Linked DNA regions of Saccharomyces cerevisiae S288C. The gene in region 1 interacts genetically with each later gene. Each region holds a gene or a part of one and is shown on either strand. Other genes may lie near its edges.

Region 1 (7,557 bases):
ACACATGGAATACTAAGAATATGCGTAGTTTAGAACCTCCGAGATCGAAGAAACGAATTCACCTGATTGCAGCTGTAAAAGCAGTAAAATCAATCAAACCAATACGGACAACCTTACGATACGATGAGGCAATCACCTATAATAAAGATATTAAAGAAAAAGAAAAATATATCGAGGCATACCACAAAGAAGTCAATCAACTGTTGAAGATGAAAACTTGGGACACTGACGAATATTATGACAGAAAAGAAATAGACCCTAAAAGAGTAATAAACTCAATGTTTATCTTCAACAAGAAACGTGACGGTACTCATAAAGCTAGATTTGTTGCAAGAGGTGATATTCAGCATCCTGACACTTACGACTCAGGCATGCAATCCAATACCGTACATCACTATGCATTAATGACATCCCTGTCACTTGCATTAGACAATAACTACTATATTACACAATTAGACATATCTTCGGCATATTTGTATGCAGACATCAAAGAAGAATTATACATAAGACCTCCACCACATTTAGGAATGAATGATAAGTTGATACGTTTGAAGAAATCACTTTATGGATTGAAACAAAGTGGAGCGAACTGGTACGAAACTATCAAATCATACCTGATACAACAATGTGGTATGGAAGAAGTTCGTGGATGGTCATGCGTATTTAAAAACAGTCAAGTGACAATTTGTTTATTCGTAGATGATATGGTATTGTTTAGCAAAAATCTAAATTCAAACAAAAGAATTATAGAGAAGCTTAAGATGCAATACGACACCAAGATTATAAATCTAGGCGAAAGTGATGAGGAAATTCAATATGACATACTTGGCTTAGAAATCAAATATCAAAGAGGTAAATACATGAAATTAGGTATGGAAAACTCATTAACTGAGAAAATACCCAAATTAAACGTACCTTTGAATCCAAAAGGAAGAAAACTTAGCGCTCCAGGTCAACCAGGTCTTTATATAGACCAGGATGAACTAGAAATAGATGAAGATGAATACAAAGAGAAGGTACATGAAATGCAAAAGTTGATTGGTCTAGCTTCATATGTTGGATATAAATTTAGATTTGACTTACTATACTACATCAACACACTTGCTCAACATATACTATTCCCCTCTAGGCAAGTTTTAGACATGACATATGAGTTAATACAATTCATGTGGGACACTAGAGATAAACAATTAATATGGCACAAAAACAAACCTACCAAGCCAGATAATAAACTAGTCGCAATAAGCGATGCTTCATATGGTAACCAACCATATTACAAGTCACAAATTGGTAACATTTTCCTACTCAACGGAAAAGTGATTGGAGGAAAGTCGACAAAGGCTTCGTTAACATGCACTTCAACTACAGAAGCAGAAATACACGCAGTCAGTGAAGCTATACCGCTATTGAATAACCTCAGTCACCTTGTGCAAGAACTTAACAAGAAACCAATTATTAAAGGCTTACTTACTGATAGTAGATCAACGATCAGTATAATTAAGTCTACAAATGAAGAGAAATTTAGAAACAGATTTTTTGGCACAAAGGCAATGAGACTTAGAGATGAAGTATCAGGTAATAATTTATACGTATACTACATCGAGACCAAGAAGAACATTGCTGATGTGATGACAAAACCTCTTCCGATAAAAACATTTAAACTATTAACTAACAAATGGATTCATTAGATCTATTACATTATGGGTGGTATGTTGGAATAGAAATCAACTATCATCTACTAACTAGTATTTACATTACTAGTATATTATCATATACGGTGTTAGAAGATGACGCAAATGATGAGAAATAGTCATCTAAATTAGTGGAAGCTGAAACGCAAGGATTGATAATGTAATAGGATCAATGAATATAAACATATAAAATGATGATAATAATATTTATAGAATTGTGTAGAATTGCAGATTCCCTTTTATGGATTCCTAAATCCTTGAGGAGAACTTCTAGTATATTCTGTATACCTAATATTATAGCCTTTATCAACAATGGAATCCCAACAATTATCTCAACATTCACATATTTCTCAAAGCATATATGTAGTATATATACATATACATATATATATTTATATAGGTTTGGGAACCTATGTTTTTTATTGTACCAAACGCATCCCTCTTCAATAATCTTCGAAAAAAAAGTGCACAACAAGCGGGAAAATCTGTGTAAAGCTGTATAAGTGATCTGTACAAAAACTACGAAGAAAAGAAATAATACCAGGGAGGAACTACCAATTGTAACCATTAACCTTAGTTATGAGATCATCTCTTCTAACCCTTCCAAAAGTATGTTTCCGGCAAACGCTATAAATTTTTGTTAACTTGTAAGGATTCGAAGCAAAGCACAATTTTACTAACCTGTTCTCAAACATATTTTTTTTTCATAGTCTTTTTTGGGGTTTATGCCGCTATACCTTGCAGTTGAGATTGTCTTAGGTATTTCCATTCTAAACAAATGCAGTGGTGCTTATGGTATTTTAGCATTGTTCACGGGTCATCCGTTGGATTTTATGCAATGGATAGCATATCTTTGGTCGGTATTTACATTAATCGTATTCTCACAAGGGCTGTATTTGATTCATAAGCCAAACTTGCTGGTATTTTCGCAAATCTGCGTACTTTATACAATCGATACCATTTCCACTTGTTTTTTTACTCTATGGTTTACCACGCAATGGTTCACCTTGGAAGACACTGCTAATATTGATGGAAATAATGCACTACAAAGTAACCCAATATCGACAGGTAAGCTGACAGAACGTGGTATTGATATAAGTAAACAAAGTGCAACTGAAAGCTACGAATATACCATGACTATTTTAATTACGTTGGTGTCATTGATATTCAGGTTCTACTTTAACTTCATTTTGGCATCTTTTGTTCAAGAATTGTTACACCACCCCAAATATTTAGTTGATAGGGATGACGTAGAACAAAACTTGAAAAACAAGCCTATTTGGAAAAGACTGTGGGCTAAGAGCCAAAAAGGTTGTTATAAGCTATGTAAGAATTTGTTAGAGTAAATAGTAAAATAAAGCCCTAGCGTTATAGCGTTTTACACTGATGAAGAAATGTTTCTATTCTGACATCATAAAATCATTCTCACTGATGCTATTGTCACTTTTCATCACGTGTGTATTTAAGTAGCTCTTACGTAATTTTGAAAAAAAAGGAAAAAGGAAACTATATAGCACGCAATTCCCTATTTGGTTGCAATTCAATTCCGTGAAACCCTTTTCTTTTCTAAAGTGATAATAAAGTAACTTTGCAATATAATCAGGTCGCAAATATACCCACAGATAATAATCTACCATGCCTGCTACGTTAAAGAATTCTTCTGCTACATTAAAACTAAATACTGGTGCCTCCATTCCAGTGTTGGGTTTCGGCACTTGGCGTTCCGTTGACAATAACGGTTACCATTCTGTAATTGCAGCTTTGAAAGCTGGATACAGACACATTGATGCTGCGGCTATCTATTTGAATGAAGAAGAAGTTGGCAGGGCTATTAAAGATTCCGGAGTCCCTCGTGAGGAAATTTTTATTACTACTAAGCTTTGGGGTACGGAACAACGTGATCCGGAAGCTGCTCTAAACAAGTCTTTGAAAAGACTAGGCTTGGATTATGTTGACCTATATCTGATGCATTGGCCAGTGCCTTTGAAAACCGACAGAGTTACTGATGGTAACGTTCTGTGCATTCCAACATTAGAAGATGGCACTGTTGACATCGATACTAAGGAATGGAATTTTATCAAGACGTGGGAGTTGATGCAAGAGTTGCCAAAGACGGGCAAAACTAAAGCCGTTGGTGTCTCTAATTTTTCTATTAACAACATTAAAGAATTATTAGAATCTCCAAATAACAAGGTGGTACCAGCTACTAATCAAATTGAAATTCATCCATTGCTACCACAAGACGAATTGATTGCCTTTTGTAAGGAAAAGGGTATTGTTGTTGAAGCCTACTCACCATTTGGGAGTGCTAATGCTCCTTTACTAAAAGAGCAAGCAATTATTGATATGGCTAAAAAGCACGGCGTTGAGCCAGCACAGCTTATTATCAGTTGGAGTATTCAAAGAGGCTACGTTGTTCTGGCCAAATCGGTTAATCCTGAAAGAATTGTATCCAATTTTAAGATTTTCACTCTGCCTGAGGATGATTTCAAGACTATTAGTAACCTATCCAAAGTGCATGGTACAAAGAGAGTCGTTGATATGAAGTGGGGATCCTTCCCAATTTTCCAATGAGCGCGCTACATTACAGTTAATGCCTCCAGCAACCTGTAGTGCTTCTTTAAACCGATCCGATACAGCTGAAACAAACATTGATTTTACTAATTTTCATATAATATATACACATATATCGAATGATAATGCAAAATATAATTTAATGAAATTGGAAATACTCGGAAAATTTATCATTATCCTTTTCTTCTTTTGAACGTAAACTTCGGACCGTCGTCATCGTCGTCGTCGCCATCACCGTTATTAGAAGCCCCAAAAGAGCCACGTGATCTACTAGTTGCGCTTCTACTGTGTCTACTTTGCTTGGAACATTCTTCTGACAAGTTTGGCCGTAAGTTCATTTCCTTCACCACAAAAAGATTACGATTATTTTCTCTGTGATTTAGTCTATCGCTTTTATCATCAATATCACCCAGATCATCTTCATCAGTAATAAAAATTTTGTTTTTTAGTGGTTGAACGCTGGCTGCAGTACCTGAACAACGAGAAAAAGAAAACGAATCTTCTTCTCCTTCATTTGAACTATCCTCATTCGTGAATCTGTTTAGAGCTTGAGATCTTTTCTGGATAGTGTTTGAGTTTATATTATCGGACATAAATGTATTCGATCCAAATCTTTCCATCTCCGTCAAAGCAAACATATCTTCGTTTTCTTCTGTGCCCCATTTTGTAGTTGTATCCTTTTTGGAGTATTTTTTTAACGGAACATAATTTCTAGTGATTAAAAAGGCTGCATTTCGTATAAAATCTGAGCTTTGAGTGTTATTTTTACCCTCTTCTTTGTGCGCCTTTGATTTTGGACGTACCTTGACAAAAGTCTTGAAATTCTTGCGTTTATGCCATTCTGGCTCCATTAGGCTATTTTCCCATTTTTCAGTTGTTCTGCTTGTTTTGTTTCCCTCACTATCAAATGATTTCCTCAGTAAATTGTTACTAGGTTCTACAATAGCCAAATTTTTTAGCTGATTAATAGCTTCCTCGCTCAACTCCTCATCCTTCAATTCAACAATGGTTGACTTAACTCTTTTGACCTCTCTATTTTTAGTTTCTTGAATAGCTTCAACAAATGCGTGCGGCGTACCAGATTTCTCTTTAATAGATAACTCTTTTACAGGTGACTTACAATTTTCTTGTAATGGAGATGAAATTTCTCGTGAATAATTAGAAAGTTTACGGATGTTTTTAGAGGGTTGCTCTATATTCTGGTGATGATTCACCCTAAAATTCTTAGTAACTTCAGCATCATCCATCGAATTCACAGCAGCTGTTTCATAGTCAGCGGAGTTCGAAGATATGGTTTGAGAGCCAATCCCTGCTACCTCCGGCAATGACGGCTGTGGTAACTTATGTGACTGTAGCGACTTATCCAACGAATCCTCACTCGTGTTCACAGTACCTAAGTTGGGGCTACTGACAATTATAGCACCAGGGCTACTGTGACCACTTTTCTTTCCAATATCTTCAGTCGGCTTTAGTGCGTTTTGAAGAAATGGGGCGTGCTTTTCATCTGCCTCTGCAATGTTGGGACTTGAAATGACAGTCTTTGATTCTGCGCCACAATTAAGTCTCTTAGCGTCAGTTAAAGACCTATTTTCTGATAGAGTCTTAGTACTCAAACCTCCAGCAAAAAAATCAAGACTATCGAGTGGTAGTACTCTACGTCTATTTAATTTTCGCTTCTTCGAGACTACTGGACTAGCTTCAACTTCAGGTGCACGAGATGTTTTCAAAATAGTAGACATTCCTTCAGAAATTTGATCAAATTTACCGTTATCTAGAGTTCTTGAAGATGCACCCTTCATATTAATCACTGCGCTTAAGGTGCCATCTATTATTGATGTTAACATCGTTTTGATAGTACATAGAATTTTCCCATTTTCTTTCTTATCTGTAGTTGTCAAAATCAGGTATTCTGTTGATGCTTCCAAGCTGTCAACATATTTATATAAACTATCAATGTTGTCAAATGCAAATAAATTTATATTGAACGTCCGCAGGAGAGATGATAGACGTGGTTCACTTTTGATAGTAGTTAACACTCTGATATTATTCAGCCTCATAAACTTCGAAAGCAAAATATTTGGATCAAAATCAAAAACATTGTACTCCGGATTACTAATCATATCGTTCCACATTTCATCAAATTTTAAATTAGTTTTAGATGTGGGAAGAAGAGTATTACACAATTCCATCAGAAACCGTGATTTTTTCATGGGTATAGTACTAACAAGGGCATACAATTCCCGTATGCTGTTGTCCTCGCTCTTTGGGTAATCGCTAATCATCAGATTAGCGGGAATATCATTAATAGAAATCTCAGTGGAGATACCATATTCAGAAAGCATCGTCCTGAATTGTGTCAAATGAGGAGGAATGTTCCAGACTTCATTTATCCATTCGAACTCTATACGAATAGGAGTTGTACCCAGTTCAATTATTGTGGACTTTAAAACGTCCGAGGCATTAATAGTAAATGTTTCGCCAACTTTCATGAATTTTTTATTTAATGATGTCAATTTACCCTTGTTAACTAAACACAGGCTACTGTGTTTCAGATCCGAACTATTATTGATTTCCCATTTGAATGTGATATGCTGTCTGGAAATACTTTTATCATTTTTAATTATCAGTGGGTTTTTACTTGATCTACCTATACTATAAGTTTTGAAGGCCTGAAGACAACATGATATAAAGCTAATAGAGCCATCTTCCAATGTATTCTGGTATCGTACTACCCACATAAATTTATAGTTATCACCTTCTCAGTATTGTTGCTCATCTATTACAAAATTCTGCTTATTTGGTTTACGCATTGCTTTTCATAGAAAAAAAGGGCTCCCCATATAAATTTAAGAAAAGTACTAATATTTAGCGTAGTTAACAACTTTACGAAAATGAAAATGAAATATTTCTCGGAAAAGTATTATATATTATACACGTCTCTACATTCCAAATAATTCTACGTTTCTTGGAGTAGTCTTAAGTTTAGTGATGACGATGGCGTTGTTAGTATCTATACCGATTTCAAATGATTCTGGTTTTGTACTGCTATAGTCAGAGATATTTGCCTCCACCAGCTTACAAATTGCTTCAATACAATAATGACACCATTCTACCGCAATTTGGGCATTATAGTTAAGTTCCTTTTTATTTGTAGGTAGACCTGGGTGATTGAATTTCTTACATAATAAGTCCCTTGAGTACCATTGAATGTCTAGTAATTGACCGCTATGACTGTCCCTCAAACCTATCATGATATCTGAGTTCGGTAATAAACCCGTCTGTACCCACGTTT
Region 2 (7,407 bases), on another chromosome or scaffold:
TGCCGATAGCGGATTTTCTGTTCTCTATGGGAAACTCTGTAGTTTTCTTTTTTTTAGTTTAGTTCGTTCCCAAAAATGGAAGAACGTCAAAACAGTGATCTACATTAAGCTGAGGCGAAAACACTAAACGAGGAAAGTTATACGATGGCACAGGAACAAAATAGAAAGTATGTATGACGTTGAAGGCTGATTAAAGCATTGAAAGGGGAAAAATACTTGTGAACTAAAAAATGTACATATTACGATGTCGAAATATAAGGAAGTAAAAATGCTGTCCGGTTCTTTTGAATAGGAGAAAAAATAAACAGAACATAGTCGGGAACTTCGAGAAAAAAAGTAAGAATTGAAAAATGCATATGAACGATCAGATTGACATTCAAATTCTACGTATCACTAAAGTTTAGCCTTCTTTTTAGAGGAAAACAAGTTAGCTATTTTGGACATGAATTGTTTGAAGGTGCTAATCGGGTATTTCATGCTTGCTTGGAATTCCTCCTTTTCAATATCAAATTGTTTTGAATCCGAAGTATCTAAGATATCTTCAACATCGTCAGTATGTGGTAAAGTTTCAGGATCAACATGGCCCGGTGTGATTGGAATCGAGGTGCTTCTACCTTTAAACGCAAATCCAGGGTGGAAGATGGTCAAAGTGACCGTAGCGATGGCCATCATTAATGCATCTAAGATAATAAAATACCACTCGTGTGTGATCAGATAGCCATCCCAACCGACAACTAATTCAGCCAAACGGTAACAACAACGGGTAAAAATGGTTAGTACCGCAACGGTTATTGCCAGATTAAAATAATGAAAAACCCAACGTTTAGGTTCGAGTCTCAAAAAATGGAACTTTTCCCTGTATAAATAATCAACTTCTGTTTGCGATATCTTTAAGAGGCTCAATGAGATAGGTCTAGAATTTATGTGTTCCCATCTTACCGATATATATATACGGAAAAGGAAGTGAAACCATAACATAAGAAAGATGGCCATCGATGCAACTTGAATGGCCAAACCAGCAATGAAAACATGATTGCCGGTTGTTGTGGACGTTCCATCTGTGACCGCCACACCACACAGGCCACCGCCTACAGCTTGCACCACAAGCGATACGATATCGGAACATATGAAAATAAAAGAATACGCCATTGGAGAGGGCAATAAAGAGAACCTGTGGCCGTATACTTCTATAAGCTTTGCAAGTTGATAATAAATACCACCCATTGTGAAAACTGGTGCAATAGTCAAACAAATCATGTTCAAAAGAAAAGCGTCCATATCGGCGACATTAGAATGCGACCACGTCCTCCCTATAAATCCAAGAACTTCCAAAATACCTGTGCATATAAAAGCGATTGAAAACCAGTATTGGCGCATCAGTAACTGTACGACATGTATTGTCAGTAGTATACCCCAAATGACAATCATCGTGATATTAAAACGAAGGTTCGGTACCATACCACCATAAAGGGAATTACTGTTAGCTGCTGCTTCTAACTGTGGCAAAAGACTGCCTAACGTATTATTTGTTGCGTTGGACATTTTGAATTTCTCAACGTCTATAATCAGAAAAAAAGTACTGTGAGAAATCTATTTTAGAACAACCAGCAGTAATTAGTTACGCCCTTAGTATACTATTGCTTGAACTGCTAGGAAACCAGAGTTTACGTAGAAAAGTAATGAATTTTAAGTCTACTACTGAAAGAAAAAAAAAAAATACTTTACTGTGCAAGCGACAAGGAAAACTCTTCTTATTTCTATTGATTCTGGGGTCGACTGCAAATAATAAACCTTATATAGTGTTTTGCCCATCAGCTCAACTGTTTTAGGTGAAAATGGGAGGCACACCAAAGAAAAATAAACAGGGCAAATTAGAGCTCCGTGGGTACAACCGATCAGAATCACACCTATTCCCTTTTAGAGAGCGAGATAGCGAGAAAAAGTCAAGAGCTTTTCGACATTTGCGGAAAAATTACGGGGGATGCTTACGTACAGCTAGGGGGCGACAGAACCCTCAAGGCATGGCCGTGCAGCACTCGCACAGGACTTGGTGCAAGAAGTTCGGTTACTAATGAGAATGTCAACTATCGGAGCTGCCACAACTACTAGGCAACGTCGTTTTCCAGTGGTCCCTGACATATCAATTGCCGCACTGTCACTGTGCGCAAATATAATAGGAAACAGAGGACCGACGGAGACCATATCTTTCCGCGGAAAAAGAGTCCGAGCGAAGTCCGGAAGGAAATATGACGGAGCAAGAATGCTTCCGCGGATGTAAAAGATTGTGCTATGCTCTGGATTGCCCTCTCGGAGAGTTTTGTTGGTTTGTTTCACTGAAGCCATTGATAATAAACTCTTTATTGGGTGATGACGAGGCTGAGCACCAAAAAACCTAAAAGGAAACCAAAAGTTTAACTCATTAAATAAGTTGTGACTATATTTCAACACGCGCTCTAATAAATATAGCCTTTCTTTTAGCTTTTCTATAAAACTAGATAAAAATAGTAATTTTTGAGAGTACTTAAGGCAACAGAAGGAGTGAGTAAAAATAAAAAAGAAGCGTGGATGCGCTCAGCCTTGTAAGAAATTGTCCAGGACATCTTGAAATTTACCATGAGAAGCCTTGTTTGCTTTGCCTAAGATTTCTTCGGCGGTTTTGTAAGCTTCTTCTTGTTCAGCACTTTCATTGTCAAGCAGGTTACCTAGGTCAATATATGCTTCGGCGACTTGAACCCAGGTGTCCGGATCATCCTCCAGTTTAGCCTTTTCCAAGTATTCTAAAGCCTTTTTTGTGTGCTTCAAAGCGGTTTCTTGGGCGTTCTTGGCTTCCTTGTCGCTAACCTTTTCAGAACCGCCATCATCGTACTGTAGGCTTAAGAAAACTTTACTTGGTTCTTCAGCTTTTTTTAGGTATAGTTCCCCTAGGGTGTTAGCTATTGATGCATAGATTTTCACATCTGTATTTGTGTTGTCAAGCAATTTATCAAAATGGTTTCTTAGCCACTCGTAATTCGCTTCTAGCGATTGTTGTAGGGGATATACAGGGTGTTCTGGTTCCAACTCAATATCAATGAGTTCCTCTTCCTCTTCATTATCGCTATCTATGCCCTCTTGAATAGATTGTTCGCGACCAAAATTCTCGACGATGTCCAATAAGTCATTCACCATTTGTAGGATTTCAAAAGTAAATTCAGTATCGTTTTCATAAATTGAAAAATGCTTCTTACCATGTTCAAGCTGTCCTACAAGATCAAGTTTTTTATCCTTCGATTTCAAATGGAGATTGGAAATATATTCCAACGGAATCCTTTGGAAAATTATCTTTGCTAAAACTAGTTTTAGAAATTGGGATTCAGGGAAATGCGAAAGACCTAATTCGACTCTTTCGATAGCACTTTCAAAAAATGAGGATACATCTTTTTTTCTCTTTTCTTCAGTGGCTTCCTCATCGCCTGCCTTGAAAATAGTCAATTCAGATAAAGCCAGAGCATATATACCATGGAAAATATCGTTCAGCGTCTTCTTAATCTCTTTATCTTCTTCAGAAAGACGCAATAATCTGTCACATTCGTGAACGATTCCATTTAAAACATATTCGTCGTCTCTGTCAGAGTGAAAATATTTAGACCACAGTCCTTTCAGCTGAGCTAATTCGTCATCTAAATCAGCATCATCGTCAAGCTCAACACTCATTTGACTTCTCACAGGTGTGGATTCTCTGGAAGGTTCATCGCTCTTCTTTTCGACACTTTCCACCTTTCTTTTCTTTTCTCTACTTTGTTTACCTAAACCTAAGGGTCTTTTAGCCATTTCTGTACGATTACTTTCTTGGACTGTTCTCCTTTTTTCTTCAATTCTTTTTCTTTTGGGTGCCTACAATTGTTCTATTATTTAAAAACTAGTTTATATTGAAATTTTTCAAAATATGCAACATTTCAAATGACGAAAAAAAGAGTTCTTTTTCTCGCACTTTTTTTTTTACCTCTTTCGGTCGCAAAACGATATATGCGGAAAATTGTTTTTCCGCTACAACCTCATGAAATGGAAAAAGAAATGGTGAAGTTACTCCAGCTTTCATTTGTTTATATTTCGATTGCCTTAACGCTTAAAAATGAATTGTAAACATAAAAAAAAAGTCGTTTTCTCCCTTTCTTCCCCGTACAAAAAAAGAAACGAAAAACCAAAGACCAACCAACAGATTAGGTTCTTGCGTAAGGCGTTTCAAAGGTTAAGCACCACTTCTTGATTATTAATATTATTAGTTATACGTTATATAAGAGTAAGTGGTTACAATGAACGGTCTCTCTTGATGAGTCAGGATAGATGAAGAAAAAAAAAAAAAAAACGAAGAGACCATTCAAGTAATTTATACATGTTATTTTGTAGAGAAATGCATCAAAAGCGTTCTTTTCCCTTGTGTAACATCAATGCCGATTAGACGTTACAATGCAGTTCCCAGTGAATTAGATGTGTGTATGATTTAACCATGATAGGTGTTTAAATTTGTATCTTTGGAGCCTTAGTTTGTTCAGCTTCTAGCTTATCAGCGTTTCTTTGATGTAGCTGTTCTTTGCAGCTCGTTAAGCCATTACAAGCATGGTTTTCCATTAATCTGTGTTTCGAGCAAAAGTGACCTTTGCAAAAATTACAGTCACCGATGAATTTCGAAGCCGCACTTGAACAGGTATCGAAATAACAAGCATTCTTCTTTTTCTTCTTGGTCGTTTTCTTAGTCACCCGCCTACTGCTCTGACCCGTCGATGTCACGCTAGAGTTACTAGAAGACCTTGAATTCAACGGTATAGCACCCAGGACGGTCCCGGAATCTGATTTCTTTATCTTAGCGTGGTATGTGCTTTTATCCTCGATCTCATGCATGGGATCCTTGGGAGTAACTTGTCTAATTTCATCCTTTCTGGATGGAATTTCGATTTCGTTTATATCAGACATTTTTAGTTTCTATTCTTTTGGTGATTTTGATAGTTTTGTGCTTCACTTGATGTAAATGAATCAGTAAAGCAGAATAAATAGCGGTTTAGCGGATAGGCTGCTTGATCCTTTTATCCAAGATGTATGATAGAGTCAGGAACTCTTCAAGCGGGAAAGGCGAGAATATCTCTTATGCAAAGTCTAAGACTTCGGTGGCAAGTATTTCCCTTTTATATCTTCTTTGCTTCTGGGCCGATGCAGTCTTTGCCACCGCCCCCTTCTTTCTTTTTTTCCCTGACAGGGCCGAAGCTCGCAGAAAACAGAAAGGTGAAACGAACCGCAGAGCTGTGGAGCATTTGATCTCACCCGCTTTGCGATAAGCTGGCAAGGTTAAATCGGATTTGAACCACTCCCTTTCCCTCAGAATGAACATCCGATAGAGTGACGACGCACCTCCGCAGCATCGTAAGCGCTAACTATGAGACATAAAACTCCCTTTGGAAAATGAGTTAAGTGTCCTACTTGCCTATTTTTAGCCTTCTCTTCTGGTTATCAGTGATTAATGCAAATTTATTCTATGTAAAGATATATATAGTTCAAAAGTTTTACAATAATGAAATTAGTCCTATTTAAGATCGCTGTAGCCCTCCTTTATCTTCTTTCTTTTTTCCTTCATCGTCTTCATCTTCGTCTTCGTCATCTTCATCGTCGTCGTCGTCGTCGTCATCATCGTCGTCATCATCGTCGTCATCATCATCATCGTCGTCGTCGTCGTCGTCGTCGTCGTCGTCGTCGTCGTCATCATCGTCATCATCATCATCGTCATCGTCGTCGTCGTCATTATCTTCATCTTTACCACCAGTATCGTTCTTCTTATTATCATCCTCCTCATCGTTATCTTCATCCTCTTCTTCTTCCTTTCCCGCAGAAACATCGGGATAACCACCTAGTTTGACGACTATCTTGCCAACAATCTCATTTGCATCCATCATCCCACTTAACCCGATGTCACCGTTTATGCCCATGACTTTTTCTGAGGGTTTAAATACAGTTACCCAAGGCATCTCTTCTTGAATAATTCGAAAATGTTTTTTAGTCATTATGGAATTGAACGTACCGCTACCCATTGAAGGCGCTAGGAATATGGGAAACGTTGGATTCCATGCCCTTATTACACTTGTCAAAAGGTTGTCACATAAACCAAGGGCAATCTTGGCCAACGTGTTTGCGGTTAATGGTGCGACAACTAGTATATCTGCCCAACGACGTAGTTCTATGTGTAATACAGGATCAGTTCGTTGTCGCCATACATCCCACTCGTCTTGGTCTGTCCAAAATTGTATATGTGCTGGCAGTTCAATTTGAGGATGTTGCGATACAACGTTTGAAGAGTTGCTGTACGTACGACTACCACCAAGTGTCGAAGGAAATCCAGTAGTAGAGGCCATTTGTTTTTCTTCCTCCTGTTTATTATTTGTCTGAGAAGCCGCTGAGTTTGAAGACGTCTTCTGAATGCTAAATTTTTCAAGAGAGGCTACTTTTTTCTTGTTACCAGTTATATTGCCAGCATTAGAATTGGTGCTGTTGAAAGAAGTATCGATACTATTGTGTTGTTTCTTATTTTTCCTCATATACTTCATTGCAAAAAATTTGGTTGCTGAGTTAGTTAGTATAACTTGTATGCATATTTTGTCCCTTCCGTAAATTTCTTCTAATTTTCTGATCATGTGCTTGAGTTTGAAAACAGACAAAGAACCTGTTGCCCCAAAAAGAACGTGTAGCTTGCCGTCATCTTGGGGAAGCCTTGGATCCATATTGGTCATAATATTTTCTCTCTTCAAGGGATTTGAGACTGCATTGGGAGACATTGCTTCTTCCAAGACAGACTCCAACAATGTGGGCTCTCCAGTCTTTGATATGGAGCCCTCTCGTTCAATGTTGATGGGGTTAAATGTATTCACTACCACAGAGGGGCGAGGACTAGTACTGTTAGACCTTGATCTAACTGATGGGGTGTGTAAAGGATCTTCCACGTAGAAATGTGGGTGCTCCTTTCTGGGGCTATCGGAACTATTGTCAGAGTTTAAAATAGAATCTGTTCCACCGGTGAAACTTAGCTTTTTAGCCAGCAGGCTGGATATGTTATTCCCCATATCAGCATTGGAGAGAATAGAGGTTGGAGTCGAAAAAGAAGAAGCAGAAGCCTCGCCATCTTTTGGTACTTTTGTATTTATGTCTTTCAAGTTTCTTCCTTGATTTGCACCCTCCGCTGCGATGTGTACAGACGTTGCTTTCTTTTCGCTGGACTGTCTGGCCACCTGGTTAGGTGGAGTTTGCTCCACATCCGACCTGAGACTACCCAACTTTGGATCGCTGAATGTAACAGTTGGTATCCTTTTTAACCCTGGCTCTGGTGTATTACTTACAACTGCCCCAGAAGTTCCGCTAGCATTCATGATTGACTTAGTTTGTGAACCA

What was found.
Region 2: mutations in YPR1 (region 1) and ETT1 together harm fitness more than expected from each alone (negative genetic interaction), as found in Saccharomyces cerevisiae (one large-scale study listed by BioGRID).

Annotation. Positions count from the first base shown.
Region 1 is NC_001136.10:1,210,578-1,218,134, forward strand, and holds YPR1 (trifunctional aldehyde reductase/carbonyl reductase (NADPH)/glucose 1-dehydrogenase (NADP(+)) YPR1), read left to right. Parts: upstream 1-3,326; coding exon 3,327-4,265; downstream 4,266-7,557. Other genes in the region: MOR1 (Mor1p), read right to left, coding at 1,861-2,259; KEI1 (Kei1p), read left to right, coding at 2,271-2,300, 2,402-3,037; XRS2 (Xrs2p), read right to left, coding at 4,439-7,003; DXO1 (Dxo1p), read right to left, coding at 7,205-7,557. UniProt on the Saccharomyces cerevisiae protein: Aldehyde reductase with broad substrate specificity, catalyzing the NADPH-dependent reduction of aldehydes into the corresponding alcohols.
Region 2 is NC_001147.6:422,275-429,681, forward strand, and holds ETT1 (Ett1p), read right to left. Parts: upstream 3,811-7,407; coding exon 2,572-3,810; downstream 1-2,571. Other genes in the region: phospholipid-translocating ATPase RSB1, read right to left, coding at 394-1,458; TMC1 (Tmc1p), read right to left, coding at 4,498-4,950; phosphopantothenoylcysteine decarboxylase complex subunit VHS3, read right to left, coding at 5,559-7,407.